Linked DNA regions of Caenorhabditis elegans. The protein of the gene in region 1 purifies or fractionates together with the protein of each later gene. This does not show direct contact. Each region holds a gene or a part of one and is shown in the gene's direction. Other genes may lie near its edges.

Evidence for each region.
Region 2: the proteins of C28D4.4 (region 1) and wac-1.1 fractionate together in Caenorhabditis elegans (co-fractionation; one large-scale study listed by BioGRID). This does not show direct contact.

The regions. Positions count from the first base shown.
Region 1 is NC_003282.8:9,743,238-9,747,003, reverse strand, and holds C28D4.4 (DUF1248 domain-containing protein), read left to right. Parts: upstream 1-1,998; 5' UTR 1,999-2,020; coding exon 2,021-2,200; intron 2,201-2,248; coding exon 2,249-2,788; intron 2,789-2,830; coding exon 2,831-3,039; intron 3,040-3,083; coding exon 3,084-3,216; 3' UTR 3,217-3,244; downstream 3,245-3,766. Other genes in the region: C28D4.5 (DUF1248 domain-containing protein), read left to right, coding at 197-376, 425-964, 1,007-1,215, 1,261-1,393.
Region 2 is NC_003279.8:13,345,441-13,350,130, forward strand, and holds the start of wac-1.1 (WW domain-containing protein), read left to right. Parts: upstream 1-1,629; 5' UTR 1,630-1,639; coding exon 1,640-1,726; intron 1,727-2,079; coding exon 2,080-2,178; intron 2,179-3,969; coding exon of another isoform or gene 3,970-4,038; intron 4,039-4,690. Other genes in the region: wac-1.2 (WW domain-containing protein), read left to right, coding at 1,292-1,336.

The DNA.
Region 1 (3,766 bases):
GATAAACACATCCAGTCATTGAGAATCGATTGTACGACCTTATAATACTCAGTTTCGGTTTAGAAAAGTAAAATTGTCAGCGTGACCTATCCCAATTTCAAAGAACGCACGTGTTCGACTAACCTTTGCAAGTTCTAACTATTTAAATTTATTTTGTAATCAATTCAAAAAACTAGACCTGCAAAAATCTACTTGAATGCTCTCCAAATCTCTTGCCCTCGGCCGTAGGCTCACGAAGATTTCTTCATCAGTGAAGTCAATCAGTTCCATCACATTCAAGACTGTTGATGGAAAACCAAGAGATGCACTGACAATTCATAATGTAGATTTCGTAATTGATCCTGATGAGAAGATGGTTGATGAGTACATGAAAGTGGTAAGACATTTTCAAGTTGCACAAGTGCAGTTAAATATAATGTTTCAGTACGGAAATCAGCGGTTTAACTTCAAGAGGAATGATATTGATATTTGGAGAAAATCTTTCAAAGATAGTTACTCTCTGTGGCTTGTATGTCTGAAAGGAACTAACAAGATAGTCCAAATGTCACATGTATTGAATTTCCCACCATTGCTTTCTCACAATGATATTCTCCATCAGTATCATGGATTTTTCTGGGTTGATCCTGATTATCGTGGAAAGGATAGTATGGCAATCATGGATTACATCGAAAAGCACAGAGCTCGGAATCAATCGGATAATGATGCTGGAACGTTTTTGACTACAGCTGTGACTATGTGGACGAAAATGCATGGGCATGCTGATTACAAACATATAATGTATGTCTCGTATTACAAGCCAGATGAGATGCAGATTCCTGAAGACTTGAATCTTGATGGAATATTCCTTAAAAATGCAACGGAAGTACCAGATATGGATATTGTGAAATATGATAACACTGTGTTTCCATATGAAAGATCCAAGTACATGTTAAATCTTCTTAGAGATCCTGAAGGTTTTGGAAAGGTTTGTTTCAAAAGTTGAGTTTTATCAATTGAACATCTTTAGGTAGCATACGACAATAATGGAAAAGTGATTGGATTTGGAAATGTGATCATCTATCCATCTGGTGAATGTGTATTGACTCCACTATATGCTGATGATAGTAAAGTGGCTCAGGCAATATTCAAAAGCATTTTAAAAGAAATTCCACTCAATGACAAGAAGCTTTTGAGATTCCAAATAAGATCAATCGATCAATGTGAAGGAGGATTTGAGTTAGTTTTTGTTTTATGATATCTCAATTTTCATTTTATTTTTAGATGGATTCAACCCTTTGTTAAAAACCCAATAAGAAAGGAAATCATGGGATACATGGCTGGTTCTTCTCATCCTCCAACCGTCAATTACAAGAAAACTTATGCGAACACGCCGTACACGACCTGCGTAATTTGAGCGGAAAACGATTGATCTGGAGATATTGTATGAGTCCGATAAAACGATTTGAACAAAACCCATTAAGAATTTATTTTTGATTTTTGTGGAGATCAGACAAAGTCCAGGAAACGCATTAAATAAGCTTTGTGCTCTTTAGAAAATTGATCCTATCAAAGACGGACTGAGTCAAAATTTATCAGTGAAACAAAGATTTCGGAAACGTACACGAGGAGAGTCATCATTCACGTGTTGGGTAGAAAACCAAATTGAGATGTGAATCCTGTGTAGGTGCATGATTAAAGACAACAGACAAGGCCTGATCGCTATAGAAACTTTTTGAAAAGATGGTCTCATCCAAACTTGTTTATTTTAAGCAAAAACCAGGAAGCAATCAAAATGAACGTTTTAGATGGCAATTATGTAGGTCAAAAAGAATCACAAAAAAAGTAAACGGGTATTAAATAATTGCGTGTTCGAAAAATTGATCTAAATATATAATACAAACCATAGTCTCAATTGATTAATTTTTAAAACTGTTTCTAACGTGACATGTAGAACCTTCGGAGACCTTACGTGTTCGACTAACCTTTAACAGTTCCAATTTCTGTTCAATTAAAAAAACTAGATTTGCAAAAATCTACTTAAATGCTCTCTAAATCCCTAGCCATTGGCCGTAAGCTCACGAAGATTTCTTCATCAGTGAAGTCAATCAGTTCCATCACATTCAAGACTGTTGATGGAAAACCAAGAGATGCACTGACAATTCATAATGTAGATTTTGTAATTGATCCTGATGAGAAGATGGTTGATGAGTACATGAAAGTGGTAAGACATTTTCAAGTTGCACAAGTGCAGTTAAATATAATGTTTCAGTACGGAAATCAGCGGTTGAACTTCAAGAGGAATGATATTGATATTTGGAGAAAATCTTTCAAAGATAGTTACTCTCTGTGGCTTGTATGTCTGAAAGGAACTAACAAGATAGTCCAAATGTCACATGTATTGAATTTCCCACCATTGCCTTCTCACAATGATATTCTCCATCAGTATCATGGATTTTTCTGGATTGATCCCGATTATCGTGGAAAGGATAGTATGGAAATTATGGACTACATAGAAAAACTCAGAGCTCGAAATCAATCGGATAATAATGTCGGCACGTATTTGCCACCAGCGGCTAACATGATCAAAAAAATATATGGAACTAATAATTACCAGCATATCATGTACGTTTCCTATTACAAGCCAGATGAGATGCAGATTCCTGAAGACTTGAATCTTGATGGAATATTCCTTAAAAATGCAACGGAGGTACCAGATATGGATATTGTGAAATATGATAACACTGTGTTTCCATATGAAAGATCCAAGTACATGTTAAATCTTCTTAGAGATCCTGAAGGTTTTGGAAAGGTTTGTTTCAAAAGTTGAGTTTTATCAATTGAACATCTTTAGGTAGCATACGACAATAATGGAAAAGTGATTGGATTTGGAAATGTGATCATCTATCCATCTGGTGAATGTGTATTGACTCCACTATATGCTGATGATAGTAAAGTGGCTCAGGCGATATTCAAAAGCATTTTAAAAGAAATTCCACTCAATGGCAAGAAGGAACATAGATTCCAAATTAGATCAATCGATCAATGTGACGGGGGATTTGAGTATAAATCAGTATTATGACATCTCAATTAGAATTGCTTTTTAGATGGATCCAGCCCTTTGTCAGAAGACCGATAAGAAAGGAAATCATGGGATACATGTGTGGCATTCCTCATCATCCGACCGTCAACTACAAGAAAACTTATTCAAATACACCATATACCACCTGCGCAATTTGATACAAGTGATAAAACTATTTTTTAATTCTTTACAATTTTTGTTGCCTTTTTTGCTGAGAGCAGACATAGTTTCTCCAAGAAACACACTGAAGAAAGTGAGCAGAAGTGAATTGTATCTTTAAAGACTGGGATTTTTGTCTATGTTCTTCAGAAAATTAATCCCATGTAAGATTGGCAGATATCCGAGACAAGATAGAAGTGATACGTGGACTCAGGGTTCGTGCACGAGAAAAGTCAGTATTCATCCGATATGAAAACCGAAATGAACTGGATCCTGCACGACAAAACCAAGAAAGACTGAACAGAAAATGTGTGCAGAAACGTGTTCCAAAGATGGTCTTACTCGAACATGCATATTTGAATCGAAAACTAGGAAGCAATCAAAATGAACAAGTGCAACTAGATCAAAAATAATCACTGAAAAATTGAACGGATAACAGAGAATTGCTTGATCCAAAAACGTTTTTTGAACGATACAATACCAACAAATCATATGCAGCCAGTTCCAAGTGATTAGTGTTTAGAATGTTTATAAGATTTTGAGATTTTA
Region 2 (4,690 bases), on another chromosome or scaffold:
CGAACACTCTCCGCTTTTAAAATACTTTCGTGCCGTTTTCTTACTTTTTCACTCGTTTTCTCGAGTTTTTGTAGCGAAAACCTGGTTTTATAGTCGAAAAACTGTAAATTTTCATCGTTTTATTTGATTTTTCTTTGAAAAATCGTTCGAAAACCGTATTTTGCTAGTTTTTCAGACGAATTTAGTTTAAATTCTTATTCAATACAAAGTTACCCTATTTTAGAGGAATGTCGGTTGGAAAATCAATTTTATAGTGATTTTAGGCGAAAATTTAGTGGAAAATCGCTGAAATTTCAAAAAATATCAGTAAAAAAAATCGAAAAATCAATTTTTGAAGTATTAAATTCAAACATTTATTATTTCCCCGGTTTTTCAGGAAAAAAGTATGCGAAAAAGGGGGTTTTCGACTAATTTGGCTCATTTTAGCATTATTTTCGATTTAAATCAGCTTTTTAGGTGTAAATTAGTGCATATTCTACTGAAAAGCAAAATTTACAGTTTTTCAACAGTAAATTGATCGATTTTCACCTAAAACACTATTTATTTCTCAATTTTCCGTCCAAATTTCATATAGAAACGGTTATTTTCCCATTTTAATCAAATATTGGTTCGAAAATCAATTTTCTAGTTGATTTCGCTAAAGTTTTTGTTAAAACCGCAAAATTTTTGAGATAATTCCATAGTTTTCGGAACTATATCTCGATTATTGTTGGATTTTAGCTTCAAAAATGGCGTTTTTGCAGTTTTTGAACACGTTGATTTTCATTCAAAAACACCAAAAAATGAAATAAATTGGCAATTTAGCGTGTTAAATAGATAAAAAATCGATAAAAAAGGTTCAAAATTAGGATTAATTTAGCCAAAAACTGAAAACTCTTCTCCTCGAGGAGTACACGAGCAGCGTAAATCGACACATGAGGTTTTTCTCCCATTTTCAAGTATAAAACAGTTTGGAAGCTCGATAAAAACTCCAAAAACTAGCTTTTTAGGAAATTTAGGTGTAAAATTTGTGTAGAAACTCGAAAAATTGCAAGAAATTATGTAAAAATTCATAAAATCAGTCGAAAAAACCAACTTTAATTCAAAAAATGTATTTTTCTCAGTATTTCCAGAAAAGAAAACACGGATTTCAGACAATTTTTTGTCGAAAAACGCCAAAAAATTAAAAAAAAAACCAATTTTAATTCCAAAATCGTAATTTTCTCAGTATTTCCAGAAAAAAAAACACGAATTTCAGTGAATTTTCTCCTTAAAAAACTCAAAAAACACTTAAAAACCCCAAAATTTTCAGACTCTACTCTCGGAGCCAGAACAACAGTCAGATGGCAATGAATAACTGAAATTCTAAGCTTTTTCCCGAATTTTTATCCGAAAATGTGCCCCCATTCCAGTGATGATCTCTCATTTCCCCCGCGACTTTTTTTTCTCATTTTTCGTGTATTTTTCCGTTTGTGTGCAAAAGATTAGACAATTCTCGTCGTAGAACTAATGTAAATTTTGTAATATAAAATTTAAAAAATTTTTTAGAACGTTTTTCTGATGTTTTTTTTTGTTTTTAATGGTTTCTATAAGCCAATTGTTATTTTTTATTAATTTTTAAAAACATTTTTGTTAAAAATTTGATTTTCGAGATCCGAAAATGTCGCGTGTACCGCGAACATTTGCAGGATGGACGGAGCAAATGAGCTCCAGTGGAAAAATGTATTATTATAACAAAAAGACTGAGGTAAGGATGATTTTTTGGCGAAAAAATGGTTGAAAATCGACCCAAAAAATCAAACATTTCGAAAAAAAAGGTGCAAAATTGAACATTTTTCGTCAAATTTAGCACTCTTCCCGGTTTTTTTTTGAGCGATTTCTAGTGAAGTTCTTGAAAAAAATAACTGTTTTCTTTTTTTCTATAAGTTCTGGAGAAATTCAGTGGGAAATTTTTTTTTCAGCATCAAAAAAGTGAATTCGGGCCTTTTTTTCCGAAATTTTAAAGATTTTTGTTGGGTGATTTTGTGTTTTTTTTTAAAGAAAAAACCTTGAAAATTCAAATACTTACTGACATTTTACAATTTTTCCCAAAAATTTCAGATCTCACAATGGGATAAACCAGCAGAATGGCCTGCGGAAGGTGGATCGGCGGAACGAGATAAACCGAAAGGAGGAGTTAATGAAAAACCACGTTTTGCGGTAAGTTTTCATGGAAATTTGAGAAAAAATTTATAAAATCGGGTGAAAGTCTTCTTAAAAAGCTGTTTTACTGAGAATTCTGAAATTTTGCAAGGCGCTTATTTGGTAAAGTTTTTTGAAAAATACTGAAATGAGCTTTTCTCGCTCGCTTCGCTATTGGTCTAATTTCAAAAAAGTAGGCGTGACCAACCAATCAGCCATTTTTCTCGCCTTTTCCCATTGCTCAGCTTAAAACTTTGCGATCGCTGATTGGTTGGCCACGCCCACTATTTTGAAATTAGCCAATAGCGAAGCAAAAATGTTTTTTTCTGCGAACTTTCAACGCCTCAGGAATTAATTTTTTTTTCTTCATTTTGTTTTCCAGTCGTCTCAATTACTTTTTGGCTCTCTCCAACTTTTCGGCAAATCGACAATTATAGTGCTCGAAAAAATTGTTTCTCTCTCTCCCCCAGCCATTGAAAATCGAAATAATTTGATGTTTCATTAGGAGAATTGGACATTTTTTTTCGATAATTCGGCAAATGCCGTATTTCAAATTTTTTGGCAATCCACCACTGCTTCAACTCAGCGGTGTGCGGCAAATTCGCGGAGTTTGCCGAGCTCGGAAAATTTCAAAAAAGTATATTTGCCGAATTTGCCGCACACATCAAAAATTTGATAATACAATTTTGACCAAAACTATTGATTTTGCCCCCAAAAATTTAGTAAAGTGACGCAAAATTGAGTTATTTTGAGGATTAAGCAGACACTCTACACGGAACTTATTCAGAAATCCGATGTGTGTTAAAATTTCGGAGTTTGTTAAGATCAGCAAATTTGCCGAATTTGCCGTGCTCGAGATCTGCCGCTCACCCCTGTTGTAACTCTCTTCCTCTCAACTTCATTATCTTCTTATCTTCATTATCAGCAACTTAGCTGAACCATAAAAGTAAACCTCCATCTCCGATCCGTCTCCGATCTATCTTTCAGGAAGATTGATATTGCAGGCTTTTCCAGCTCGAGTTGTGATCTACTTCAGTCCATCGCATCGGTTGTACTTGTTTAAAATTTCATTAGATGAAGCCCCCCCCCCCCCAATCTACTCAACGTCTTCGATGATTTAACGGCCGAGATAGATGTATTCTGCCTTCAAAATTGGCTCAGTTGCTCTCCGAAGCTCATCAACTCCCTTTTTTAACTCCTTATCTACTATCGGCAACTCTAGCTAAACGATAAAAGTATAAAAGTACACCTGAATCTCCGATCATTTACGTCTTCGATAAAGTTCAGATGGTTTTTCGTGTTGATTTAATGACCGAGATGGATGATCCTGACCTTCAATCATTAGTTTTCTAGCTCTTGGCTCAGTTGGCTCCGAAGCTCATCAACTCCCAGTCACTTTCTTCTTATCTTCCATCGGCAACTTAGCCATAAAAGTACACCTGAATCTCCAATCCGTCTCCAATCTATCTCTTTTTTCCTCAGGAAGATCGATATAATGAATATATCGGTCAATTATCTTCTTCTTCTTCGTGTTTCTGGCGACAAATCGGCATCTTCAGTCTCTCGTCCTCCTCAAAGTATTATCTCTGCGCTTCTCGTTTTCTCCCACTCTCTCACTCTCTTCTACAGTTTCTCCGAGAGATACGCAGACGGTTATAGATAGAGTGAGGGTGCACGAACTGTCTCACATACTCACTTATTTTCTCACTATTATTTTATCTATTTTTACCCACGAACTTCTTCTTCTTATTATTATTACCTGGGCTTCACCTTAGAATTCATCCCTATATTCACTATTTTTCCATCAAAATGTCCTCGTCGTCGTCGGGGCTGTTCAACTTTTTGACCAGCTCCATACGAGCCCTTCAGGTTAATGAGGTGAACTTTTTTAAAAACTTTTTTAAATATTTTTTATGAATTTTTAGAGTTTTTATTAAAAGAAAATATAACGATGATCTATTTTCGACATTTCCCGAGTTTTTCCTGTAATTTTTTGAAAATCAAGCTAAAAACATGAAATTTTAGCCTTTCTAGTTAATGAATACGAAAAAAAATATTGAAACATGGAGATTTTCTACTCTTTCAAATGAAAATGCATTTAATTGCGTATTAATCTATTAAAATTGCTAACATTTAAGGTTTTCACCCAAATTTTCAGAAATTTCCTGAAGATTTATTTTACCCACGAAAATTGCAAATTTAAGCTTTAAAAAATCCCAAAAAAAACATTTTCATTGAAAAACTGCAAAAAAAACCACTAAAACAGCGTTGAAGACTATTAAACTCAAAATTCTGGAAAAACTGCGCCGCAGACTTGCAGAACAAGGCCCCGCCTCTTTTTTCCGCTCTGATTTTTTTCCAATTATTGCAAAAAATTAGACAGCTGAAAAATCCGGGAAAAATTCGCTAAAATCACAAATTTGTCCTAAAAATGCGGGAAAATTTATAAAAAATAGATTTAAAAAAAATATCGAAAATAGGAAATATGGGAATTCAACCTTTTTTTGCGCAAAATTTGAATAAATAATTG